Macaca fascicularis: one gene and its partner. The protein of the gene in region 2 interacts with the protein of the main gene of each other region in a pairwise test. Links are inferred from orthologs where the notes say so. Each region holds a gene or a part of one and is shown on either strand. Other genes may lie near its edges.

What was found. The genes of interacting proteins can lie anywhere in the genome.
Region 1: the proteins of GUCD1 (region 2) and CTH interact in binary tests that used the Homo sapiens proteins (3 or more experiments, as listed by UniProt). The two-hybrid records come from large-scale screens. The link is inferred for Macaca fascicularis from reciprocal best matches to the Homo sapiens genes GUCD1 and CTH.

The regions. Positions count from the first base shown.
Region 1 is NC_088375.1:164,244,055-164,249,864, reverse strand, and holds the end of CTH (cystathionine gamma-lyase), read left to right. Parts: intron 1-3,451; coding exon 3,452-3,590; intron 3,591-3,873; coding exon 3,874-3,900; 3' UTR 3,901-4,449; downstream 4,450-5,810. UniProt on the Homo sapiens protein: Catalyzes the last step in the trans-sulfuration pathway from L-methionine to L-cysteine in a pyridoxal-5'-phosphate (PLP)-dependent manner, which consists on cleaving the L,L-cystathionine molecule into L-cysteine, ammonia and 2-oxobutanoate.
Region 2 is NC_088384.1:28,891,498-28,897,519, forward strand, and holds the end of GUCD1 (protein GUCD1), read left to right. Parts: intron 1-1,301; coding exon 1,302-1,543; intron 1,544-2,285; coding exon 2,286-2,380; 3' UTR 2,381-4,678; downstream 4,679-6,022.

The DNA of each region.
Region 1 (5,810 bases), on a different chromosome or scaffold from region 2:
ATTGGGAAAGAAATGTGACAAGGTCAGGGATAATTCAAGATATTTAACAATAAGAATAGCATGACATTAATCAGAATGGACTCTTACCCTGTCAAGATGGAGACCCTGATAAATCTCATGGCGGGCTACTTGTTAGTGAGTCGTGTCCTCCCAAATGTTGCTTCCTTCCCTGCTCTGTCAAAAAGAGATTCCAGCAGTAATTGTATTCTAGGATCTCTGACCTCTGACCTCTAACCTAGGGCCACATGTTCTACCCTACTTAGCCTTAGAGGGGACTGGAGACTTTGTACTAGAAAAGCTTCTTTCAAAGCTCTTTGGGAAACAGAGAATTTGTCTCTGATGAAACTCCTCCATGCCCTTGATTATTGGAGAAGAGCCCTACTAGATACTGTCAAATCTTTTGCTTTCTGTTCTCTGTGGGATAAACCTTTAATATCTTTATGTTGTGTACAAAATAAATCCAAACCCTAACTTGGTACCAGGCCCTTCAGTATCTAACCCAATCAATTCATCTAATTTTATCAAAGCATCAGAGGATATTGGTACAAGAAGCAGCCTAAGATCATACAGTCCAACAGCTTATTTTACAGGCAAGGAAACAAAGATCCAGAAGGTTGAGCTGATTGATTCAAGTGTCACATAGGAACATGTTAGCAACTTCACTCTTGGATTTGCATCAGAAACAGTGAGGGGAGGTAAAAGGTGCCTGGATCTGGATTTGAGATCTGCTTCCACCAATTAGTTAACCTTTAAACTTCCATTTTTTAACCCATAAAATGAGATTAATAATTAATGATTTTTGGCCTGGTGCAATGTATTATGCCTGCAATTACAACACTTTGGGAGGCTGAGGTGGGTGGATCACTTGAGGTCAGGAGTTCAAGACCAGCCTGGCCAACATGGTGAAATCTTATCTCTACTGGAAAAAAAAAAGGAAAAAAGTATCTGGGCGTGGTGGTGCACGCCTATAATCCCAGTTACTTGGGTGGCTGAGGTATGAGAATTGCTTGAACCCAAGTGATGGAGGTTGTGGCAAGCCGAGGTTGCCGCAAACCGAGATCACACCACTGCACGCCAGCCTGGGTGACGCAGTGAGACTCTGTCTCAAAAAAACCAAAACAACAACAAAAAATTAATGATTATTCATTTATTGATTACCTGTACCACCAAGCATTCCTGATATATATATTACCTTTATTATATGCTACTATGGCCATATGTTGTAATTATTGCAGGGTTAAGTCAACATCATAACCTAACTATTTTTAACTATACTAAATATATACGGTGTATTTCTGTGTCTTCATTTTCATAAACATTTGTGGAATAACTTGTTATGCAAGCATTGTGTGGAGAAATGTCAGGGCCCACCAAAGTTTAGGCCTCTTTTCTGTCTTTGTTTAGGAGTTTACAGTTAGACAGAAAGTCAGGCAGTCTCACAAAGTTTAAAAAAAAAAAAAAAAGATGTCCAAATAATGACTTGAAATAATTCATTGAACACAGCTTTTTGTTAGTCTTTCCAGAAGATGCCTGCTAGTAAGTTTGGATGCACAAGAGGGCACACTCAGCATGGGAAATGGGTTTATTTTTCATAGTAATGAAATGTGTATTACCTTGAGACTCTCTTGTCTTAAATCTCTCCTGATTTACGTAGGGATTTTTGTTTAAAGTTGCTTGGCCCCCAGACACCCTGGTTTAGGCTATAACCGCGATGCCAGAGGATGGGTGGATTTAGGTCAGGGCTTGTCTGTTCTATGACCCTTCATTCTGTGTCTCCCAACTCTGCTGCTACTAGTAGAGCATTGCAATACGGGAGGGAGGAAGTGAAGATAATGTTTATTAGCTTAGTCTCCCAGCCTCACAACACATATAACTCTGTGACCTTGGAAAAGTTACTCATCCTCCCTAAATCTCAATTTCCTTGATTTTAAAATGTGGGCAACACTCTACATAGCTTTTAGGTTTTTTGTGAGAACATGGGAAAAAATCTCCCTAAGCGAATGCCTTGGTTCATACTAAGTACCACGTAAATGTTAGCACCTACTATGAACTATTATCTTTTATTAGGCATCTCTACTACATTCCAAGTGCTTCGAAGTGCTTTATCCATGTTCCTTCAAATTAATGCCTGTGACAAACTTTGAAGACAGGTGTCATATCCAATTTTTATTCATTAAAAAAATGAATTAATGCACGCAAACCAGCTAGTAGAGTATCTGCCTCATAGTAAGCATACAGTAGGTGCATCTGTTATTATTTCAAATAAGGAAATAGGCACTGAGGATGAGTAACTTTTATAAGGCCACACAGCCAGTATGTGGAGGGGCTAAGATTCATATCCAAGTTTGTTGGTCTCTGAGACCTGAGTTCTTATTTCTACATGTACACATTCTTTTAAGGAATTATGAGTCTCCCAGGGCAGAACATTTTAAGATGGATGTTTCTATCTAAACACTTTAGTAGTGTGATAAAGGAAGATATCCATCACTCAGACCACAACTGAGATGTTTTTTTTTCCCCCATGGCTCTCATGTAAGAAAGGAGAAAGCAGCTTAGGTATTGATTTTGCGGGTGGCATGCAGGGAAACGAAGAGTGTTGGCTGTAGTATACATATTGGGGCTAAGGGAGATGCTAAGCCTCTCCTCCATTATTCTTCACAGAAATTTCTCCTTCCTTGAAACTTTGGCAGTGTTTTTGTCTATACCTGTTTGGCATTGTTTATATAGACTATTTTGTTTTGTGAATTGTCATAGTTTTTAGCTCCTGCTTTGTTATTTAGGGTAAAGAAAACATCTCATTCTTCTTGGTTTCCCAATTTTTACTGCAGTGCTTGACATATGGGTGCTTTTCCTTTACATCTGTTGATGATGGTAATGAGCTGCTAGATAGTTTGAAAAATCCTTCTAGGCCTCTATGCCAGGAGTTATATTGTAGAATTCTGAATGCATAGTGGTTGCTACTAGTGATTCTTGGTGGTCTTTCTCCGATGTGCCTCAGAAGGTCCAGCTCTGAATTGATCCAGAGGAAACTGATTATGACAGGCTTTTGGTCCAAGAGATCTCTTGTAAGTAACAGTCCAGTAGGTTGGTCACAGAGTACACGATTTCTGGCCAAAGCCTCATGTAGGCAGGTATTGAAATCTACACCCTGGGGAGGCTATGCCTTACCCTACTGCACGGGGGTACTTGACATACACTTTCAGTGTTTGGATTGAGCATATCTTGCCGAAGGTATAAAGAAGATTAAAAAAAATCTTGCTTTTCACTTAAAATCATAGCTCGAAGAAATAAGTTTCATAATTTTCTCTTTTTTTGCCTGTGAATTATAGGGGTATGCAAAATTTGATATTTGGAGCAGAAAAATTTTGAGGGTAATTGCAGTTTATGAGACAGAAACATGCCTCCACTGACACCATATAGTGATAAAAAATTTGCTCATGTCTTCTTTCAGGGCAATCATGACTCATGCATCAGTTCCTAAGAATGACAGAGATGTCCTTGGAATTAGTGACACACTGATTCGACTCTCTGTGGGCTTAGAGGATGAGAAAGACCTACTGGAAGATCTAGATCAAGCTTTGAAGGCAGCAGTAAGTCTTATTATTGTGTGTGTGTGTGTGTGTGTGTGTGGGTGTATGTGTATGTGTGTCTGCTTTATCCTGAGCATGGGGGTCACTATATTTACAAAGAGTGGTCTCATGTGAACTCTAAAGCTTTTCTGTCCCTATAATAGACCAGGGGTATAAATAAAGGTACAGGGAGCTCAGTCAAAGTGCTTAAAGGATGGTAGTATTCAGTAAAAGGACTTCTTGAGGAGTTGAAGCTATGGCCTATATGTTTAATAACATATTTTCTTGTACACTGTTATTATAGCACCCTCCAAGTGGAAGTCACAACTAGTATTCCAGAGCTGCTATTAGAAGCTGCTTCCTGTGAAGATCAAATCTTCCTGAGTAATTAAATGGACCAACAATGAGCCTTTGCAAATTTTTCAAGTGGAAATTTTAAGGCACCTCATTATCTTTCATAACTGTAATCTTCTTAGGGATCATCTCTGTTAAAAAGTTTTCTGTATGTCATATTATAATTACAGGTCAATTCTGTTAATATCTTTTTGTTAATTTTGCTCTATGTTTGCCTCTGAAGGAGGTGAGATTTTTGCTGCTTTGGGGGATCATGTTCTTTTTTCATGTCTAAGATTTATTTTGATCATGTTTACAATATAATGGTCATTCATTTTTTATGTTTTGTGAAGAACTTAAATTTAAGCGAATGTTCTTAAATCAAGTGTGATTTTTTTTGCATATCATTGAAAAGAACATTAAAAGCAATGGTTTACACTTAGTTACCATAAGCCAAAAATCAAATACTTGAAAAGTTTACTGTGAAATTCTACTGATTTAAGATTGTACTTAATATTAAAAAAAATAAATCTAATTATCAAATGCATCCCATTGTGGTATTCCTACATTATGTGACATTAACCTATATTCCTGGGTCCTTTTAATTCCCAACTACTGCTCTTAGAGGTCTTAGCCTTTTGTGTTAATTTTTATAAATGTAATTAAATAACTATTATTCCCAAATCTTAGTGTTTGCAGATTAGTTATAAATCCTATATATGGCAGGTTAAAGGCCACCTTTTTACAGAGAAATAATACTTTTTATATTTTTATCTGAAATAGTACAGTTGTTGAGAATAAAGGAAGATACGTTTAAAAATAGAATCTTTTGGGCCTGGTGGTACATGCTTGTAGTCCTAGCTACTTGGGCAGCTGAGGTGGAGGATCTCCTTGAGCCTAGGAGTTCCAGACTGCAGTGAGCTATGAATGCGCCACTGCACTCCAGCCTGGGCAACAGAAGGAGACCCTGTCTCTAAAAAAAATAATGAAATAGACAATTTTATAGTTGAGTGTATAGTTAGCAAGTTGTCAGTGAGCCATAAGTCAAAAATTAAATCTTAAAAATTGTTTTTATACTAAAGGTTTCTCATCTTATAATAAATCTTGATATTGCCATTTGTTTTGGTTAAAATAATATCATACAGCCTGATGAATAACAGTGATGTGTAGGAGGAGAATACATAAAAATACACATTCTTCTGTATTGTCCACACTCTTGAATTATGCCTATTGAGTCTGGAAATTCTGTCTCTAGAGGCAGTAGCATTTTGAGGCAGGTCCTGTCTCACTGTGGTTTCTGCCAGAACTGATTTCTTGCCATCTCAAGGCCTTAGGGCTGTGGAAATTAATGAAGATCAACCAAATGAGAAAAGGAAAGGCTATTCTTAGCTTACTATAGCAAGGGAGTTAGCCACCATCACCTGGGTTTTGGCAGAAAGTCAAAGGCAGGCAGATGGGTGGAAAAGTTTTATAGTGGAGGAAAGGGAAGCCTTCAGGTATGTCCTAGGTGAAGACTGTTGGCATGGGGAAACTGGAAGCAGGTTGACTGGAGTCAAGTGTTTCACAGTGGGCAGGTCTGTGTAACTCTACACCAAAGTCTAAGGAAGTTGAGAGGCCAAAGAGGCATCCGGTTTCTTAGAAAGAAACATTTAATAGGGACTTAGGAACAGAAGCCATGACTGTATCTTGGGCAGTGATGGGGCAAGTTGGTGAATCCCAGCATAATTACCCACCAGACCCAGGACTTACATGCCATAGGGAGAGGAGTGGTTGAGAAGGAATTTGTAAGACAACTGAAGTATGCTAACATCAAGGCTGTTTGACCTAAGGACAGGATTTACTGTATGTATGAGTTTATCAAGGGTGACTTACTCTAAGGACAGGATTTACAATAAGTACCTGCTCTTA
Region 2 (6,022 bases):
CCTGTAGTTTTTCCTTCCAGCCAGCCTCCTGCTTTTTCCCTATAGCTGAAATTCCACTCTTGTACACTGCCACTGGGAACTCAGCCAGCTATTTTGTTTCAAAGACCAAATGGAAAAATGGCACGTTTCCTTGGCCAAGGCAGCAATCCAAACTGCCACGTGACTCAGCTGTGGCTGAAGCTGGGCCAGGCCATGTGGTACTGATGCTGCCACTCCTAAGGAAGGCACCAAGTGGGTGAGCAGCCCCTCCAGCAAAGATGCAGGAGCCCCTGGCCTAGAGCTCCCCCTGCCCACAGCCCCATCTTCCCTCTGCCCCTCTGGGTGTTTTCTTTTGTCTTTTTTTAAGAGACAAGGTCTTACTCTGTCATGCAGGCTGGAGTGCTGTGCTGCAATATTGCAATATAGCTCACGGCTACAGCCCAAGACTCAAGTGATCTTCTTGCCTCAGTCTCCCGAGTAGCTGGAACCACAATCTCATACCACCATGCCCCATGCCTGGTAAATTTTTTAATGTTTTTGCAGAGACAGTTATTGCTGTGTTGCCCAGGCTGGTCTCTAATTCCTGGGCTCAAGCGATTCTTCCACTTTGGCCTCCCAAAACACTGGGATTACAGGCGTGAGCCGCTGTGCCCAGCCCTGCTCTAGGTTTTCATGTGGATTTGCTGCCTAGTGGAAGGTACAGGATGGGGCAGCACCTTCTGTTAGTGAGGGAGGCTCCAGGCAGATGTCATTGCTGAATTGGAGCTCCCCTGGAAGTAATGTGGCCCAGCCCTTCCTGGGCAGCCCCTTCTGCCACAAGGAGCCTTAGGAAAAAAGTAAAATAACTCTTTCAGAGAAGCATTTGGTTTTGAAAGTGTCTGAGCCATGCGTGGCTTAGATTTAGGGGATTAGATTGGGCAGGCAGTTTTCAACGTAAACTACATATGATTTAGGGTAGAGGAGAGACAAGGCTGGGCAAAAAGAATTCACTAACCAGCCTGGGGCACAGGAGGACGATGGTTTCTGTGTGCTGCTCTAGTGGCCCTTGACTGGACCCACCTGGAGCTGAACTGCCCTCCCCGTGAAGGGCCTGACAGGGCCAGCTCATCTTTGTGCACACTCAGACACGCACACCATACCAGTCTCCTGCTTGGCTCTAGGCTGAGCCTGGGCCACAAGTGACAGAGCAGGGAGTTCAGGGCAAAGGGAAGAGGAGCCGATCTCCAAGCTTTGTAACAGAGAAACAGGAACAAGCAGGGATCCAGTTGAGGGATGGGGAATGGGGGCCCAGCAGCACCAGCTGACCCCTCTCCTGCCCACAGCACAGTGAGTGTGCAGGACATCCAGGCGCACCTGGCTCAGGGCCATGTGGCCATCGTGCTGGTGAACTCTGGGGTGCTGCACTGTGACCTGTGTTCCAGCCCTGTCAAGTACTGCTGCTTCGCCCCCAGTGGCCACCGCTGCTTCTGCCGCACTCCTGACTACCAGGGCCACTTCATCGTCCTGCGCGGCTACAACCGGGCCACTGGCTGCATCTTTTACAACAACCCAGCCTATGCTGACCGTGAGTGCTGGGTGGGGCGGGTGAGGCAGAGTGGGCCACATTCACTGTTCTGTATGGCCAGTGCCCATGATTCCCACCCATGCAATCTAGTGTGGCCAGGGCCTCCCTTACCACCTTTTCCCCAAAGCCCCTGCTCCTCCTTTACTCTTGTCACTGGAGCCACCCCTCAGGCCATGCAGGCAAACCTGCAGCAAACTATGCCAGCCTTCTCTACAACCTGGCCACCTCTCCCTCCCACACCACAGGCCCCACGCCACTGCCCAGGTCCCTGCCTCACCCTTTCATGCTGCACAGGCTGCACCCCTCCCCCAGCCCCCAGGATGGCCAGCACATTCCTCAGAAAGAAGCCGGCCAGAGCCAGCCCCTGCTCTAGACCCATCCTGGCCTGCCTGCTGCCCTCCAGGCACAGGGAAGGGCCGCCCTGACTCTCATAGACTGGATTCACAGAGACAGCCCCTAGACGCCCTGATCACATAAACTTACCCCATCTATGTGGCCTGGAGCATGTTTCTTCCCCTCTCTGGGCCTCACTTTCTCTAACTGCTCAACTGGGGAGGAGTCAGAGAAAGCTCATGAAGACCAGGATGGGCAAGGAGGGCTTCCTGAGGGTGGAGGACTTGAGCTGAGAGGAGTGGCCATGCGGGTGGAGCACAGACCTCACCCAGCTCTCCTGGGCACTGTGTTGGTGGGGTAGGTGCTTTCTCACAACCCACTGACCCCGTTTTGCCCTCTCCACCCCCAGCAGGAATGTGCAGCACCAGCATCAGTAACTTTGAGGAGGCCAGAACCAGCTATGGCACAGATGAGGACATCCTCTTTGTCTACTTGGACAGCTGACAGCAGGAGCCTGGTGTGCCCAGGCCCTTGGACCCCATCCCCACCCCAGCTGGGCCCACTCAGGATGCCCTGGCCCAGGCCTGGGGCTGCTGGGGCTGGAATGTGGAACTGCAGCCTCAGCCCATCTGGCAGAGCCCCAGAAACTCTGGGATACTGTGGCACAGCTGCTTTGTCTGCCAGTGCCGTGTGTTGTCATGTCGCTCACGCCAAGCACCTGCTGGCTGCTGGAAGCATACCCCAAGACCCCAAGCCTGACTCCAGCTGTGCCCACAGGAAGTCCAGTCCCAACAGTGCCCTTGTTGCCTTTGAGCCAGACCCAAGGCAAGGGTCTCCACACAGACCGCAGGGCTGAGTCTGGAGAGAGAAGTCCCTTGACTAATGCCACTTGTCAGGACAGTATGAGAGTGTCTGGAGACAGCATAGTTGACCCCAATCGCCCAGAACTGAGGACCCCTCCAGGCCCCTCTCTTCTGGAAGTGCTGCATATGCCCCCATGCCCCGTGGGTGACGACACCACCGTCTCCTGCCTACCCATGGGCCCAAGTTTCTGTGGCTCGTTACAGGGTGTCTGGCCCCTGCCACCCAGCATAGACACACCTCACAGCTGCCCTGCCGTGCAGTGCCCTGGCCCCTGGAGACGCTTAAGCCACCCACAGCCCTCCAGGTCCTCCAGCTCAGATGGAGGGCTCTCGGGGGTGTGGCCTGGGCCTAAATCCCACTGGTAGGCCTGATGGCTGGCGGCACAGTGCGTGCTCTGGGAATAAACAGCTGCCCTAGACCCAGAGGGATCTCCACACCCAGGAAGCCTCCTGACACCAGCCTAAATCCTGACAGCAGGGTCTGCCCTCTGAGTGTGGGGAGCCCCTAGTCCTTTAAGGTTGGCTGCTAGGGCCTGTGCTCCAAAGCAATGGGCAGGGGCAGCCTGCAGCTACCCACGCAGCCTGGTCTTCACACGAGGTTGCACATGATACTGGGCCTCTTTTATCTTGACGGAAAAGAGGGGTTCCTGCCTAGGATCTTACAACACAGCAAGTAGCATAGAGCTCTTTACTTCCTCTTTTTTTCTTCTTTGGTTGGGGTCAGGGGTTGTTTGAGATTTAAGTTTTCATTTTTGAGGGGTAATCACCTTCAAGTATAACAGTAATCGTAAGAGTGAAGGTACTTTGGAACCACTAACACCTCTGCACAGGGCAGTTAGCCAGCTCAAGTTCTTTTTCAGAGAAAGGGACTTGGCCAGCGGTTTAAGTATCTGCCCCTTCACCTCACAGACGAGGCAGCTGATGAGGCAGCTGGCCCAGTCTGGGGAGGCTGCCCAGGACAATGGTGGAGCTGGGCCTTGAACCCCAGTCTGTACCGAAAAAACTAAGGGAAATTGATCATTTTCAAAGGGGCAACAGTGATACCATCCCTGCACTCCTGGGTCCTGCTCTTACAGTGCCCAAGGCAGGGCATGGGGGCAGCTGGCCCCTCCCCCACCAGGTGACTCTGGGGGCAGAGGTGGGCTCTGTTTAGGAGGGCGGTCAGACCACCTAGCCAAATTGCTCCTCAACCCTAGACAAAGCCTTTGGCCAAGAGGGAGGTGCTGTTAGCTGGGCAGCCCTTCTGGGTTTCAGAGACCGGTGTTGGCTCCAGACTGGTCTCATCTCCATTGCCTTAATGCCAGGTGGCCCAGGAGTGCCCATGCACAGCAGCTGTAGGGTGTGGGCATCTTCAGGAGTGTTCTGGTAAAATTGTGAGGATAGCTGTGTGAAGGAAACCAGTGGAAGGAAATGAAGTTTTCAGGATGGCGGGATGTGATTCAGACACAGTGCACATGCTGTTAGGGCTGTCACTAGGGAGTGGCCTTCATGGAGGGTGGTAACAGCACCTCAGTCCATCCAAGATGTTTAGAAATAGTCTGCGGTCCCAGAGGACGGCTTCTCAGGGCACGCCACAGTTAAAGGTCACCTGCCTGGAAGATGAATGAGAAAGCTGCCCGTTCTGAAGACCCACCTGCCTAGGGAGGGTCACAGAGGCAGGATGTAAGCCACACTGTGTTGCATTCTTGCACAAGTCATGAAAATGGGGCCAGAGAGCGAGCCTGGACATCGGGGACTTCTGCCCACAGCACATGACACCCACAGCTGCCCAGCCTGTCCACGTGCTGGGGACCAGCACAGCACCTGAAGCCATGTGTGACAGTGAGCTTTGTTCATTCTAGCCACAGGGGGATGAAAGGGATCTTTTGCATCGCAGAGATTTTATATATATTTTGTTTGTAATGAGCCATTCTCAATAAACATTATTCTCACTGCAAAATGGTGGTAGCCCCTGGCTGGCCTCTGTGAAGCTGTGTTGATCTGCAGAATTCCTGTCCCTAAGTTCTCAGCATGAGCACATGGGAACCCAGGTCCTTGTCTTGCCATACCCAGTTTAGCTGGGACTGGAATCCTGTTTTCTGTTTTCTAGGGCCATATCCATCCTATTCAGGCCTGGATGCTTGTGGCCGTCCTGGACAGGCAGTACTAGGGGTAGAAGGGCCTCGGGGCTCAGCTCAAGTGAACTGCAACAAATGCAACTACAGGAGACACCACAGAATGAGGGGGATGTTGAAGAGGAGAGACAAAAGTGGGTGGGATGGCCGGGCACGGTGGTTCACACCTGTAATGCCAGCACTTTGGGAGGTGGAGGTGGGCGGATCACGAGGTCAGGAGATCAAGACCATCGTGGCTAACACGGTGAAACCCCGTCTCTACTAAAAATACAAAAAAAAAAAAATTAGCCAGGCGTGGTGGCAGGTGCCTGTAGTCCCAGCTACTCAGGAGGTTAAGGCGGGAGAATGGCATGAACCCAGAAGGCGGAGCTTGCAGTGAGCCGAGATCGCACCACTGCCCTCCAGCCTGGGCGACAGAGCAAGACTGTCTCAAAAAAAAAAAAAAAAAAAAAAAAAAAAAAAAAAAGGGTGGGATGGTGAGTGCTGGGTGGAGCTGGCTGCTCAGAGCATGCAGAGTTGGGGTTGAGGTCTCAGACCAAGAGTGCAGTAGCGCTATCTCGGTTCACTCCAACCTCCACCTCCTGGGTTGAAGCAATTCTCCTGCCTCAGTCTCCTGAGTAGCTGGGATTCCAGGCACACACCACCACGCCCGGCTAATTTTTGTATTCTTAGTAGACATGGGTTTTACCATCATGTTGGCCAGGCTGCTCTCGAACTCCCGGCCTCAAGTGATTTGCCTGCCTCAGCCTCCCAAAGTGCTGGGATTACAGGCGTGAGCCACTGTGCCTCGCCAATGTCATCACTTTTAAAGGAGCACTTCTATTCCTTCCCATCCTCCCTCAAACACATCATCTTGTCTGTCTCCACTGCTGTAGCCCCAGTATCTGACACCTAGTAGATGTTCAATAAATGTGAGTAAATGGATAGTAGGCTGAAATGATACCTGTTTCAGCAGCTTTCCTGTACTTTTCAGAACTAAAGGTGATCATTAAGGGGGAGGCAGAAGGCCAGGCGCGGTGCCTCATGCCTGTAATCCCAGCACTTTGGGAGGCAAAGGCGGGCGTATCACCTGAGGTTGGGAGTTCGCGACCAGCCTGACCAACATGGAGAAACCCCATCTCTACTAAAAATACAAAATTAACCGGGCGTGGTGGCGCATGCCTGTAATC